Struthio camelus: one gene and its partner. The protein of the gene in region 1 interacts with the protein of each later gene in a biochemical or structural test. Links are inferred from orthologs where the notes say so. Each region holds a gene or a part of one and is shown in the gene's direction. Other genes may lie near its edges.

Region 1 (7,603 bases):
GAGCTATCTTGGTCTCTCTAAAGATACTTGCATCCCCCATATTGGTGATATTCTAGCCCTGAATGAGGTTTATGGAAGTTTCTTAGATGAATCCTTTGGGGCCAGTATTTCACCCAATGTAGCTAGACTTTAAAGTGTCCTATGAACTAGATGTTTTGCTGTACATGCATACACGTGCTGCACATGCAAGTTACTGACTTGCTAGCCCCTCTGGCTCCAAATGAGTCACAACGGTATCTCAAAGCTTCGCTATAGCACTTTCTGCAAGAGGATTTTGCACTGTACTTACCGTGATGACACAGAGTTGAATGCTAAGCATGTAGCATGGTAGATACCCCATGGAAAACATCCACGGCACACAGACCCAAGCCCGTCCTACTGATCTGAGGGCAGGGAGCAAAAGTGCTGCAAAAAGCTGTCTTGCTGTGTCTTGCTCTGTCACTTTCAGACTGTGTGGACATCTCATTTTTGAGCCAGAGCTAATTATGTGAGTAAAACTTACAAGTTATCCTCACTGCTTCTTTCTCCCTTACGAGTGTAGCTTAAAGTAGATTTCTGGAAGCACAGTATGAAAAGGCAGGTGCTCCTAAGCATATACTGAATGCTAAAGAGGTGGGTGTACAAACCAGTTACCGTGGAATAAGATGTGGCCAGACTTAAATGTGTCAGCAGCTCTGCAGCAATTGTCCCTGTGAGTCCTATCATCTTGTGGCAAACGGAGTAACTGGTCCTTCACTGAGGAATAAACTACCTTGCATTCCCTCGTTTACAGTTGTATAAGCATGCACACAAATAGCATCCATGGAGCGGCTGTCACACTAAGTTCATACCTTAGTATATCCTGCAGTTAACTTCTTTGCAGATGTTACTTACTGTGGGCTTAAGGAAAAGCCATATGCTGTCTTCAGTTCCTGGGTTTGCTACTTCCCTCACCCCTGATACTGTACTGAAGAACCACTGGCAAACCTACAGGAAGCTCCATGTCGATGCGGGCTGTAAGTACGTGGTAGGTAGTGGGGTCAGCTGAGTGGGAACTTTGGCTGATCCCTTTGGGTTCGTCCTCTAAGAGCAAACTGATGCATGTTCCTTAGTGAATTATCTACAGATCGCTATGGAGCACTGGTAAAGATCATTGCTGGGAGTTTTCCGGGTGTCAGGGCTTGAAGCAGAAATGCAGGTCTAGTCTGTAGTCCCTGAAGCAAGCAGGGATTTAACCAGTAATTTCCTCTGATCAGAGATGTACCCAGTCAGTACAAGTGCTGTTGCATGTGTGGACCTTTTTTGGAGGGGGAAGGAAGGTGGGTGGTGATGAGTAAGGAGAATGTTTGCATGGGCCTAAACTTCCTTATTAGTTAGTGAACATTGAAACTGCACTTCAACACTGCTTAATTTCTCAAATGACATACCTCCAACAATTGTGTACAGCTGAGTGCCTGTCTTCCGGTGGATATGTGAGACAGGGCTTCCACAGGTAAGTCTCCCCATCTGGTGAAGAAAATGTCCTGCCTACCCCATGAAAGGCCAAATGGGAAAACTGTAAATAAGCTTCTATTTTTGTAATACACTTAGAGTGCAAACATCTTCTCAGACAAACATTTTACTTTTGCCAAGTTGATGGTTTTCTAGGGCTGCAGTCAGACAACAGGGAGGCGAGGCAAATAGTAAAAGGCTGGTTATTTTGATGTAGCTTCTATATTCATTTTTGATAAACAGTGGTTGAAATGGAAATCATCTGGTACTCTTAAAATCCTAGTAGTCTGCCTTTATATGTATAATGTATATTTCACCTCTTTTTTTCCCCTATCAAGTTTAAAAAAAAAGTCAATGTATCTCTTATTGTATAAATCAGGGTTTGACTCTACACACTGAATTATCTAAGTTATATAACACTAGACACTAACTTTAAAGTAACCCCTTAGAGGGTATATATTCTTTCATTGCACAGTAAGGCTTTCATATGAAATACTACTTTTTAAAGAAAAGAACTATATTTATAAATTAGGATACAGTTAATCTAATGTATTTTTATAGTTAAAGGTACATGGAAATGCTATGTTTAAACCTCATGTATATATTTAGAATATGGGTATCTTTTTGTAATAGTTCTCTTGTTCCTAATAAATGTTTAACTTTGTGGTATAGTTTCTAAATACTGTATTCTGGTATTGCCTAGGAAGGATGACTGAAAGGGACACACTTCTACTGACTTTACTCGTTTTAACAGAGAAGTAACTGTAATCCTTTTTTATGTACGCTGATTAGTGCCTTAAGAAAATTCTGGCCCCTCTAACGCAAGTGTTAAGACCCCTTCCATCAGCGCCCCCCCCTTCCACTCGACTCAGTCCTCCTGTCTGTTTTTCATTTCATCTCTGAATTTGGCCCATTGCGACACTAAAAGCAAACACTGGAAAGGGTTAAGGTTTCATGCTTCTGAAACAAAATGGCCCTGTATTGCTCTAGTTGCAGGGGGCTCTTCTCAGAACAGCGCTCTGTCTGTTCCCCTCGAGTCAGTGAGCCAGCGGGATTCCCCAAACAGGAACGTGCCCTGGGCTCACAAGGGGCGATGTAACTTCAAGATACCTTCCGCACATCGCAGGACTGAATGCAGAGTGTGTTTGTGCATCTGTGGATGTGGGGATTCAGTATCTCACTGGGGGACTGAGAAGGAATCTGAACTTGAATTCACTTCTGCATTTTGTGAAGAATAGCCTATTTTAAAAAAGGCAAGGGAAGTAAAGGGCTGAAGTGTGGTCAGTGCTCTACAAACAAAAGCTAGAGCGTGTGTTTGTTAGCTTATTATCTAAGCAGTTGCTTTTGTTAAGTTGTGCCATTTCCAGTAAACGGGGTGGGGGAGGTGAGGGAGCAGGGTTGCAGCTGGCAGGGGCAAGCACAGCTTCTGCCAGTTTGAAGTAGGAGGGATCCTTCTCCCATTCTTGGGGTGAGCCTGAAAGGCAAGGGGCTGGGGACCACCCTGCCAGATGAGGCTCCTTGCCTCGGTCCGGCTTGCTAAACCCTGTGAGACGCATCCCTCACTCTCATGACTCTGCTCCACCCTGTCCCGTTCCTATCCAATTTCCCTCATCTGCCACGCGGACGGCAAGCGAGAACGCACTGATATCGTTGCCTTTCGTCCGGCATTCACTGCTCGCATCTGGTAACACGCGTGTGAGAAAAATACCAACCGCTGTCAGCTCCCTACCTAGGCCAAGCCAACCCCCTTGAGTTTTTCCTGCACTTGCAAACGGCATCGCTCAGAAGCTGTGACACTAAACATGGAAAAGGTGAAGGCTGGAGATGCAAAGAAATGATTGTGAGTGACATAATCGATGGAGGCATAAGCCAGGGAGCCTGGGATGAAATTTAGAAAGGAAAAAAAAAAACCAAGTTTTTTTAGCCTGACTGTCTGGAGAAATTCTCGTTCGGGGAAATGACAGTGTTTATCAAAATAAAGGCAAAACTAAGTGATGTTAGTGGTTTTTCAAACAATTGGGTGGAAAAGGCTGCAAGAAAGGTCTGGATAAGAGCCAGGCTGTGAGGCGTAAAAGACAGCAGCCCGGACAGAAGGGCGCCAGATGGGTAACACTGCTAGGGCTGCAGCTAGAAGCGGGGTTCACGGGCACTCGAACCCAAGTGAAAGCATCGACGAGGACCCATCCTCTCTGTCTATCTCCACAATCACAGCACGAGAACACCCTAGGACAAACCTCAAGACTAGTCAGAGGATGGATATGGCTACTCCCATCCTCAAGCGATCATCGGAGATCCCTTTCTTCTGTGGGGCCAAGGAAGAAAAAAGCTGTGTAGGTAATGTAAGGAGTCGTCACGAACAGTAAAATAAAGGGCACGCAAAAACGGTGTTCTCGTAGCTGGTCCAGTGGGTGGGGAAGAAAAAGCCCCATCAGGCTTGGGAGAGTTTCCTGGTAGCAGGAGATGAAGGGCTATGCGATGGGGAGCGCAGCGAGAGCGTAACGCCTGCAGAAGAGAGGGGGCAACCTTGCTTTGTTTTTCCAAAAAGCGGTAGGCTTCTTCCCCCAGCCGGGAGAGGAGCAGCTTGCAAAGACACAATCTGCGATTAACTCCGCTGGCGCTAGGGCCGGGCCTCAGCGGAGAAGCAGACCCAGAGAAGGGATCCGCGCGAGGGCCGAAGGCAGCGCCAAGAGCTCCGAGAAACATGCGGGACGCGACACGGGGGGCTGCGGTGACGGCGACGCCACCCGAGGGACCTGCTGGGGCTGAGAGACGCGGTCCTGCTTCCGACCCCGACAACTCCAGACAGACCTTTCCGGGGGGGGGGGAGGAGGGGAACAACACAAAACACAACAAAACCGAACCCCAATGGCGTGAGCCCGCGTAGCAGCCGCCCGAAGAGGGCAGCTCGCTGACGGGGTGAGCGCGTCCCGTCGCGCCGAGGAGCCGCAGGCAGCGGCCGACCGCGCCGCCGCCGCCGGGGCCGGCACAAGATGGAGCCCCGCAGCCCGGCCAGGGCCCGCGCGGAGGCCTCTGGGACGGCGGCGGCGGCCGTGGTGGGGCCCGCGGGCGGGCCCTGACCCCGCGCCGGCGGGCCCGGTGGCGGAGGAGGCGCCGCCGCGCTTCTGCCCCCGCTCCCTTTTCCTTCCTCCCTCCGCCTCCCGCGCCGCAGAGCGACGAGGCGGGCGGCCGGCGCCGGAGGAGGAGGAGGAGGAGGAGGCGGTGACGGCGGCGCAGGGACCCCGCAGGCAGGAGGTAGCGCGGGCGGCACCTGCCCCGCGCCGGGGCTGCGCTGAGGGGGCGCGGGGTGCGCCGGGCGGGCTGCGAAGGGCGGGGGGGGGGGCACCAAAAGGGTTTAAAAAAAAGGAAAAAAAGCAAAGAGTTTAGACGGAACTTGGGGGGAAGCGGGCGTGCTTGGGAGCCGGCGATGGGGGGAAAGGAAATACTTGCGAGGAGCCGTAAGGAAAAACTTCCTTTTATGTCCGGGCGCCGAGCGGCGGTGGCGGCGGCGGCGTGTAACGCGCAGCCCGTTGCCGCCTTCCTGCCGCCGCTGCCCGCCGAGCCACCCGGCTCCGCGCCCTCCCTCCTCCTCCTCCTCCGCAGCTCGAGGCCGCCCCGGCTCCCTCACGCCCTTCGCCAGGTGCTCGGCAGCGAGAAAACCCCGCGTTGGGGTTTTCTTTCGCCTCGTCGCCAGACGGGCGCGGGGGCCTCACGCCGGAGGACGAGCGGGAAGGGAGCTTGGCAGGCCGGGTCCGGTTTGGGAGCTTTCTGCAGCCGTTTCCCGCCCTCCCGAGGGCAAGGATGCTGTATGCCTCCTTCGCCGTCCGCCCTGTGGAGGAGGGAGCGGCGGTTCTTCTTCCGCGCGGAGCTGCCGAAGGCCGCGGCGCGGCTCGGAGGTTCGCCTAGCTGCCCCTAGCAGGGAGGTCCCCGCGCGAGGCGGTGGGTTACGCCGCCGTCAAACGGAGCGCTTCAGCCTCCAGGCGCGGCTTCGGCCCCGCGCCTCTCTCTCGACGGCGCAGGAACGAGCCCGCGGGCCGTCGGCGACGGCCTCGGCCGCCTGCTCCGGCGCGCGGCGTTGCCCCGCGCGTCTTAACGCAGCTCCTAAGGCTAAGTGGACCTCTCGAGAAAGAGTAGGTGGTTTGAGTAAAGGACTTGTTTCTGGAGGGTTTCCCCCGATTGGGAGGTGACCTCGGGTAAGCTGTGGCGTGTCTGGGTGCCTGACCGCGCTTCGATGCGCGTGCAGCAAGCCTGGCTTGGCTGGAGGAGCTGAGAGGAGGATCTCGAGATGGTACAGACACGGTCGGATATGCTGGGGAGCGCGCGGCGGGGACGCTCGGAGAGCAGCTTGGGTCCAGCTGTCCTTTTTCTGTTTGCATTCGGGACCACCTTACCTGCAGAGCCGCCCAGGGTGTGCACGCGTCCCACCGGGGCCTGGGCTGCCAGCCCTCCTCACCCGGACGATCTGCAGCTGGGGGTGACGAGCCAAGGAGTAACAGGAGCCTTAACTGAGCTCTGGGAAGTGCTCCACAATGAACGATGCTACCCGTGGAAAATATCTTCCTTAGAAAAGCAGACATTAACTTCTCTAGACGTTAGCTAAAAGCCAGCAATAATAGCGCCTCAGGAGAGAAATTGGGGCTGTGTGAAATGGGATGTAAATCAGCGTTGGGATGTATTCCTTCTCCGTCCCGCTCCTTCCAAATGGGCTGCCCAGCCTGTAGGATCCCAAGTAGTACGCTGTTTTTTCAGGAGTTCTCCGTCCCTAAATCAAATTTAAATGTTTTTTGCAGGTGTTACAGCTGAGCTCATATTGTTGGTAACTTTGGGTAAAAGCACTTCAGGGATGGTTTTTATTATCTAAACAAAGGTAGTGAAATACAGAGATGCACAGGCAGTACTCCTTGCAGGGGTGCTTTGTGGCAATAATACCTTTATGGTTCAGGCGTTTGGTGTGCTAGTCACAGTGAAAGGGGACTGGTTATCACAGATTCACAGCACGGTTGGGGTTGGAAGGGACCTCTGGAGATCATCTAGTCCAACTCGGGACAGGTTGTCTCTGGGCAACCTGTTCCAGTGCTCAGTCACCCTCACAGTGAAGAAGTTTTTCCTCATGTTCAGACGGAGCTGCCTGTGGTTCAGTTTGTACCCGTTACCAACGTCACTCCCATTATCTTTCCTGAAAGTTTTTTGCTTTCACTACGTATGAAGCTGGGTAGAAATCCTGAAATTGGGAGTGTTTTCAAACCTCCGTGGTGCATACTGACCCCAGTCCGGTATTTCTCCCACGATCGCTGCAGGTGTGCACAGCGTGCCCTAGCTGTACCGCGAGGGAAGGCCACGCAAAACCCAGCATCTGCCAAAAGAGCTATTCTGTTGGCCTTTGCATGGGGACATATTCTTTTTTACGGTACTTGCTCAGCGCATTTACAGTGAGGGTGCAGAGAGGGCAGCTGCCAGCGCTGGAAACATCATGTCCCCTCCGTTGTCAGGATAAACGGCCGGGGCAGCTTTTGGGCGGCACAAACAGCACAGTAGCAGTCTTATCTGTGCTCGAAAGGGTTACAGCCTCCCGTGAGACCTCCGTGGCACCTCCACGCTGTCCATCACGCCAGGGCTGTCCTGAGAGATGAGCCACTGCCGCCATTTTCCGTGACGGGGACAGAGAGAGGGATGCTCTGTTGCTGGCGTGCAGCGGGAGCTGCGGCCATCCGGCCCACCGAGGAGGAGGCGTTTGGCTGTGGGGTGCGTGCGAAAGGCTTGTGTGGAGTCTGATCCGGGCAGCTCAACCTGTGTTATTTGCAGCACCCACCTTTGAAAAGCACTCACCTTTTTTTCCTGCCTTTGAAAAGCACGAAAGAACCACAAACTGCAGCCGGTGGCTTCCTCCACATGCAGGAGGCAGGGGCGTGCGTGGGGCGGTTTGGTTCTCGCTGCTGGCCACCACAACGCAAGGGTCATCAGAAACTGAATTTTACCATACCTGCACCCAAAGCGCAGATGTTCGCCTAGAAACTACTGATAGAGGGTTGGGTGATTTGGTAACGTTGTCAGCTCGTTGTTAAAACCCTATTTAATGGGGGGAGAGCAGGAGGCTGCCTGGAGAGTGGTGATGGATGGGTGTATTTTTATATTCTCC
Region 2 (7,492 bases), on another chromosome or scaffold:
AAACATGCTTTCTAACTCTACCTGACCACCACCAACCCACTTTCTTTCATTTTAATGTTCTAATTTTCTGTACAGTGCATGCAGAAGTCTTGTAAAAAAGTTAAATGATGATGAGTCAGATCGGTACAAGGTTCCTATCTCTTTGTCGCTTAGTTCTGTGTGCCGTATTGTTTTAGATCCAACAGAATCTCTCTGTTGATCGTATTCAAAGAGGAGATGCTGAACAAATCAGTGTAACAGTTGCAGAAGTCACTGTAGCACTAAAACTTCATCCTTGCCTGGTTGCTTTTGTAGAGTTTAAAAATAATTTCTAAACATGTAATAATTTAAAGGGATGAGATTGGTTTACTGTGAACTACTTGTCTTGCATCATAGTGATATATATTTGGGTGATGGAATAATTTTCTTAGCTCATCAAGATGTACAGAAATGACTACTAGTGGACCTATAGTGGTCACATCATTTAAGTCTTAAGACACCTCCGTGGTAGGTCAATCTGCTAAATATTATGTAACATGCAAACCTTTACTGAATCTTTACCAAATATGGTTAAGTTTATAGAGGTATGAAGTCACGCCATATTCTTTCTTAAAAGGAAAGTGTTCTATCATGTGCTTATGCTGTCCTAACAATGTTTACAATGACTGCTGAAAGTTGGAAGGAGGTGAGAAGGATGGATGATGAATTGTCTTTACAATAATTTAGAAAAATTGGCTGACATTAATGCAAAATCCTTTCTGGCAATTCTTTCCAGTTAAGTAGCAAGACTTAAATGCAGACTATTAAAATCTGCGTTTGCGTGTTTCTTTGACAATTCTAAACTGCCCCCAAGTTTTCTGCAGAAATTTTAATTCAAGAATTAGAGCTCAGTTTTAACATTGTGGGTCAAATAATATGATTCAACATACTGTAAACATGGGTGTAAACAAGCCAGAAAATTCATAGTAAGTGGCAAGTATGTGCAAAGTTTGTGCCCAAATGACAAAGTTCTGTGTGTGCAGAAATTTAAATGTAAAGTTCCCCTTGTAAATCTGTGCAAGTTTCTTTTCACTGACTCCAATATACTACTTTCTGGGAGTCTTCTAGTGGTTTTTGCTGAGAGCTCTTATCTAAAAGCTGCCTAGCATCCACAGCTGTAAAGAATTCACTGGGTCATTTGCTAAGCAATTTTCCTCTCCATGAGGAAAAGAACTACTCCATGCCCTGAAATGGTCGTACTGGCTTTTAGATTGATTCTGAGATAGAGGAATGAGGCTTCCAACAGCCTTGGGAGTGCAGGGCTTGCCTGCACAGTAAGATGATGGTAACGTGATGGGCAAACACAGTGCTAGTGTTAATTAGCGTTAGTAACAATAGCAGAAACAACACAGTAGCACAAGTTTGGCAGGTGCTAAGGGGCCAGTCTACTATAATACTAAGTACAGCTTTTGATAGAAAATCATACCCTAAAACTCATGTTGGCCCGTCTTTGCTGCTGTTGTACTGTGCTTGGGAGACTGAATGCTAGCTGTGGTTGGCTGCCCAAACCACAGCTGCATCCTCATGGTATGTACAGAAGTTGTGTTTCCACAATGCCTATGTACAAAGAAGATTCTCCAGATGAAGTTCCTGTAGAAGGGAAGAAAAGAATCCAACATGGCGTTTCTTGGGTGTGGACTTTCTCTTACATCCTATTCCATGGCAGCTCATAGGTAAGTGTTAGGGTATGTCACAAGGTATGGGGGGTTTGGAATAAGGTGAAACTGAAACTAAGATGGTATTTAGCAGTGTGACAAGTAGTACTGCTTTTGGTGTAGATCATCTGACTTTTACAAATGTCTTAGGTGTCCACGGCCTGGGAAGGTATATCTTTTTGCTACCATAAAAGATCTTGTGCGCATGAATGCGGATTCTCTGCCAGTCGCTCTGTTCTGCAAGGTGCGTGCATCTTTTATGATACCGCCATTTAAATGAGGGACAGCCAGCTACTTGGTCGCTGAGCCTGCAGTACAGAAGGCCTGAGATGCATACTTTCTCCATGTCAATCTCCCCATGGGTGCCTGCAGCTGGAGCAGGGCTGTGCAATCCAGCCGGGTGAACATAGCTGCAGACTAGACTAGGAGAGTGAGGTTGTCGCAGCAGCAGCAATCCTGACCCAGACATCACCTTTCTTTGCCACAAATCATAAGGAGGAGGATGAGATCCGTGCTGTTTCTGACAGAGCTACTCTTCCTCCTCCCGTTTTCTTGCAGCCCTGAAGGACCTAATTCTTGCCTTTTGTGTCCCCTAACTTCTTGTCCTAATTCAACTGTGAGTCACTTCCTTTCTCCAGAGACTTGACTACCATCTTGCTAGCCCAGCCACCTATTATTTCGGGAAAAGTGGTGACAACTGCTCCTTTATGTATCTCGGCAAGGAAGAAAGCACCTGAGGGAAAATAGGGGCAATCTACCCCCCTCTTGGGTAGGAAAAGCAGTTTTTGCAATCCTTTCTAGTTTTTAAATGGCAATTTATTCTCGACTGCACAGGCAGCAATGATGGGTGAGGTTTGTTTCAAACAACTATTTCTGCTTTTGAAACTCATTTTGCTTCCACTGTTTCAGCTCTTCTCAGTTCCTGGATGAAATGCTGTTTTGCCATCAAAAAAGACACAGTCATGTGTGATACAACTGCACACAACTAACAACCGTTGTGCCTCTTCATTTCATTGCACATTCTACCTTCAAAAATTTAAAACCCTGTACAAGGAAAAAAAATCTTTCTAACCATTTGGCTAGTAGCAATTTTGGTTTTTGCTTTTTAAACACGACCTAATTAATACTTCATAAATTAGCATGGGAGGAATAGAAGGATCCTAGGAAAAAAGTTTGCAATTTGTGTCACATTAGTCCCCATGTTTCTGTTTGTATATGTTTGGGGGTAGGAAGTAGTTTTTAATAATTTTCTGAATAAACTATAGTGAGATGGATTGAACAATCGCTGAACAATGAAATTATTTCTATGAGCTCACAGCCATAATCCTTACCTACCCAGCCATGTAAAAAAAAAACAAAATTCAGACAATTAATTTAGCAAGAGAAGTGGGACATGATATCATCTTGAACGGACAAGCCTGAGAAAATAGCTATAACCAGAGTAAGCATTCAAAACGTTATCCCTGTGCAATAAAAACCCTGTTAACTGGATGCCAAAAATTGGTCTGTTAGAGAACTGCAGTATTTGCCCAAACGTGAAATTAGGGATAAGCAAATTCCTTTTTAAATAATCACAGTAATGGCAAGTAAGAATTGCTGGAGCCAACAGGAATCTGCTGTACAGAAGTACAGGTTCAAGAAGTATAAAAGATTTCTTTCTGTGGCTTAAGTTTCCTAAGTTAGTATGATGTGCTCTTGTGAGACAGAAGTTATCTGGTTTATACAGAGAAGTTAAATATGATGTGGAAAAAGTCATTACAAAATGTAGATCCACTACCTTTGCCATCACAAAATAAGTTTTTTTTTTCTTTTGGCACAGCAAAAAACAAACAAACAAACAAACAATTTTCTTTCTAGTAAGCCTTTTTGTATTACCTTGGACAAAAACGTTTAGTAGAACTGTTTTCTCTTCTGTGGCTAACCAGATGACTTAGTGTCAGAAAGATGTACTGTATCGATGCAAGTATCTTAAGTATCTTTTTCAAGACTGCTGTTCAGGTTCTGTTTCTGCTTGTAGCAAGTGCTGTGGGTGCTTTACTCTCATCAACACTTTTTTTCTCCTTAAACAGGCTTCTGGATTTTCAAGGCACTTCTAGCCTTCCTCTTCTCATTTCTTCTTTACGCCTTCAGGAGTTTCATCTTTGTATTTCCAGCTGTCTCTTTTGATTGATATACATATATATATTTAATTAGAGAAAGACCAAACCGATCAACCATATACAATAGTCTTGGAAAGTAAACCCTCATACCATCTAGGTATCTAGGCTACCATCTAGGATCAGGTTAATATAGGTGTTAAAAACCTTACCCTTCCTTGGGCTCTGCTTTAGCGAGAGCCAAGGAAGGCGGGGCTGTGTCGGGGGGCCGCAGTGGCTCCCCAGTCCGCGGAAAACTGTCGGGGAAAAGCAGGGCTTCGGCAGCACTGCCCTGTGCTAGCGTAGGTGGTGACTGGGCAACGCTTTCAGACACCGGTGCAGCACGGCATGCAGGACAGCGTTTAGGTTTCGGGAGGGAAAACTCTTTTCTCTCTGCGGATTTAATTAAAACTCGTGACTTAGCTGTAGCTCCTTGATTCATCAATAAATTACAGCATGCGATAGCCTCCGCGTTTCTGCTGAATGCGCGATGTACGGAACAGGACCCGGCCAGGGGTGCGACACGCTCCTCGCCCCGGGGTTCCCGGGACGAGACGCCCCCTCCCCTCGGCCCGGCTCCTGCGGGGGGCCAGGGCGGGCCCGGGAGGCGGGGAGGGCGGGCGCCCGCCCGCGGCGCTGCGGGGCCGCCGAGGTGAGGCGAGGTCCGCGGCGCGCTGCGTGAGGCGGCGCCTCTGCGGCCGCGGAGGCGGGGTGGCCGCGGGGGCAGGCGGCGGGCGGGCTCCTTCTTTGGCCATGAGCGAGGTGCCGGCATTCGGCCGCCGCCGCCTGCGGGACGCGGGGAGGGAGCGGCCGCGCGGAGGAGCCGCCGGCGAGTGCTATGGCCCAGGCCAAGATCAGCGCCAAAGCCAGCGAGGGGGCGCAGCAGCAGCAATCCGGCGGGCAGCTCCGCGGCCGCTTCTACCGCTCCACCTCCATGGCGGACCGCTCCAGCCGCCTGCTCGAGAACCTGGACCAGCTGGAGCTCAGGTAGGCGGCCGTGGCGGGCCGCTCGGGGTGGCGACGTCCGGCTGCGCGGCCAGCCGAGGCGGCAGCCCCGGCCGGGCCGGGCCGTCCCCGCCGCCGCGGGACCCGGCTGGGGCCCCTCAGGATGCCGGCGTTGCAGCCGTTGGCGCCCCCCGCGAACCGTTGCGCCCCTCCCTCCTGGCGAGCCGTTGGCGCCCCCCGCGAGCCGTTGGCGCCCCTCCCTGCCCCGAGCCGTTGGCGCCCCTCACGAACCGTTGTGCCCCCTCCTCCCTCCCTCCCCCGAGCCGTTGGCGCCCCTCGCGAGCCGTTGCGCCCTCCCCCCGCAGCCGTTGGCGCCCCTCGCGAGCCGGGGAGGCGCCGGGAGGCCGCGGCCCGGACCGAGGGGCAGGTGGTCAGCTCGGGGCGGCGGAGGCGACGCTTTCTGCAATCATCAGTGCCGGAAAAAAGACCCCCCCCCCCGCCCCAAGGTTGAAAGTGACAGTTGGTGCTCGAAGGCGAACTAGCGCGGCCGGACGCTGGTCAGGGAAGGCGCAAAGCAGCCTGTTTTGTTTTGTTTTTCCGCGTGTTCCCCCGCCGAGCCCGGAGCTCGCTGCGCGAAGCCGCTCCGCCGCCCTGCGGCGTGGAGAGCCGGCGGCGCCGGGCGCTGTCGCTGGGGCCTCGGTGCCTCGCAGCAGCCTCCGAGCCGCCGCCGAGCGCTGGGAGGGCTCAGACCGCCCCGGAGCGCCGCTGCCTCGCCGGTCCGGGCGCTTGTTACCCAGGTCGGTGCCGGCCTTCCTGCTGAAATCCAGTAAATACCTGAGCTCTGACAGGAATAGCCATTCTGCAGCTTAATTGTGTGTGTGTGTGTGTGTTTCTTAATTAATTCCGAATATGATCGGTGTTTCATTGTTGTGTCAGGACGCGTCTTGCCTCCTCTTGTTATTTAGCGTTCCCCAAATAACCTATTTAAATTTTTTTCCCGTTTGGTCGTATAAGAGATGTTTCCATGCCTTTGATCAACTTCCTTGTCTTCTCAGCTCTCTCTTAATTATAGTGTCTTTTCTGAGGTGGATAGATCCAGTCGGTAATGTGAGCGTACCACTGATTCACCTAATGGCATTGAAATTTCAACACACCCTTTGTTCATTACAGCTGCATATTGATCAGAGGCTTTCGCAGAACCACCCATAATGTTTCTAGGTCTTTCCCAAGTTGCTGTAATTAAGAGCTCTGTGAGATACAGAACTTATGTTTTTCCTTTTCTATGCGCATTACTTAGCACATAAAGTTCACTCTTGATTAATGCAATCATATTATTCTTTCACGTAGGTTGATTAAATCTCTTTGAAGTTCTTCACAGACTTCTTTGGATTTGACTAACCAAAGTCACTGTCTGCAAACTTTTAGTCTCACTGCTGACGTCCTCATCCGGTGTGTGAATATATAATTACAAAATATTGTGCTAAATAAGCAGTAAAACTATGCCAAAATGTTTTTTTTTACATCTGCTGAGCAACTTAGTGCAATAAAACAGACACTGTGGTTAAGCAAAAATTAAACCCAAAATTAAAGTTTTCAGTTTGTTTTGGGTCTTTCAAAGAGGCACATTTCTAACTGCAAAACTCTTACAAAAAGAGTTAAACTATTCTGAATACAGTCAATTAAGTTTATTTTTGTGTTTTATTTATGTGTAAGTAATCAGCGTGCCTAATTTGAAAACCATGTGAATGGCAGGAGGAGGAGCTTCCATACTTCTTCTCCAATGTGTTTATTTTAGCTATAGTCCCTTGAGATGTTACTTGTAAATATAATAAGTGAAAATTTTGTCAAAGTGAACTATAGTCTTTAATTAACCCCTTTTACATTCCTCATTTGTCAAGTTGCTTAAGCTTGGCTGAACCCCTCAGCAACCCTCATTCCCTGAGTTTTCTGATCTTAAACAGCCTTCTCGTGTCTATGTTCCCATCCACCACGAGAACTTTTTTCCCAATGATAACAAGGTATTTTTGTCCCATATCTGCTGACCTGCTGGTACACCACTGTAGGGGTGTGTAGTAGACTCCCTCTAGGTGTTTGCAGAGTAGTTCTTATTTAAATCCCACTGGAAAGGGGGATTAATGTAATTGGAGTGGCATAGCCCTTATCTGGGAAGGAGGTAGCACTATACCAGTATAGCCGTACGTATGTGGCCATATAACCAGGAGCGTGCATTTCACAGCCTGGAGACAGTGACTGGAGAGGGGCTAAATCCCCTCAAACATTCTTTCTCTGTACATCAGTGCTTGGTTAATTTGCCCTCAGTCACGAGGAGCAAAGTATGACTTTTATTTGTAAGTGGAGAAACATATTTGAACAACGTATTAATTGCTGCTGTGATTTGAACAACAGTAGTGGAGAAACAGAACTGCAGAAGTGTTTGAGCGTGTCATTCTTCACCCCTGGATGGTTTCCCCGTTCACTCGCTGTGAGGACAAGCTCCCAGAGGTGGGAGGTAGCGAACTGAAATGAAGGTCAGAGGCAGAGGTATGGTCGTGCAGGACGAAGCTGCGTAGCTCTCAAGGAGTTAGTCCGACCCCACGAAGCGGCGGTGCAGGGCAGGTGGTATTGTGCTCAGCGTTTGTGTTGTTCCTAAAGGCTTGGCCCTTTCTGTTGCCCTGGCTGCCCGCAAATGCCAAGAAATGTCAGCAGCAGTTGGAAGCAGGACCAGAGTTTCTCTTTATG

The links.
Region 2: the proteins of LRRK1 (region 1) and BAG2 form a complex in vitro, tested with the Homo sapiens proteins (2 studies listed by BioGRID and IntAct, with this or other methods). The link is inferred for Struthio camelus from reciprocal best matches to the Homo sapiens genes LRRK1 and BAG2.

What each region holds. Positions count from the first base shown.
Region 1 is NC_090953.1:4,465,969-4,473,571, reverse strand, and holds the start of LRRK1 (leucine-rich repeat serine/threonine-protein kinase 1), read left to right. Parts: upstream 1-4,532; 5' UTR 4,533-4,722; intron 4,723-7,603.
Region 2 is NC_090944.1:36,126,644-36,134,135, forward strand, and holds the start of BAG2 (BAG family molecular chaperone regulator 2), read left to right. Parts: upstream 1-4,430; 5' UTR 4,431-4,646; coding exon 4,647-4,795; intron 4,796-7,492. UniProt on the Homo sapiens protein: Co-chaperone for HSP70 and HSC70 chaperone proteins. Acts as a nucleotide-exchange factor (NEF) promoting the release of ADP from the HSP70 and HSC70 proteins thereby triggering client/substrate protein release.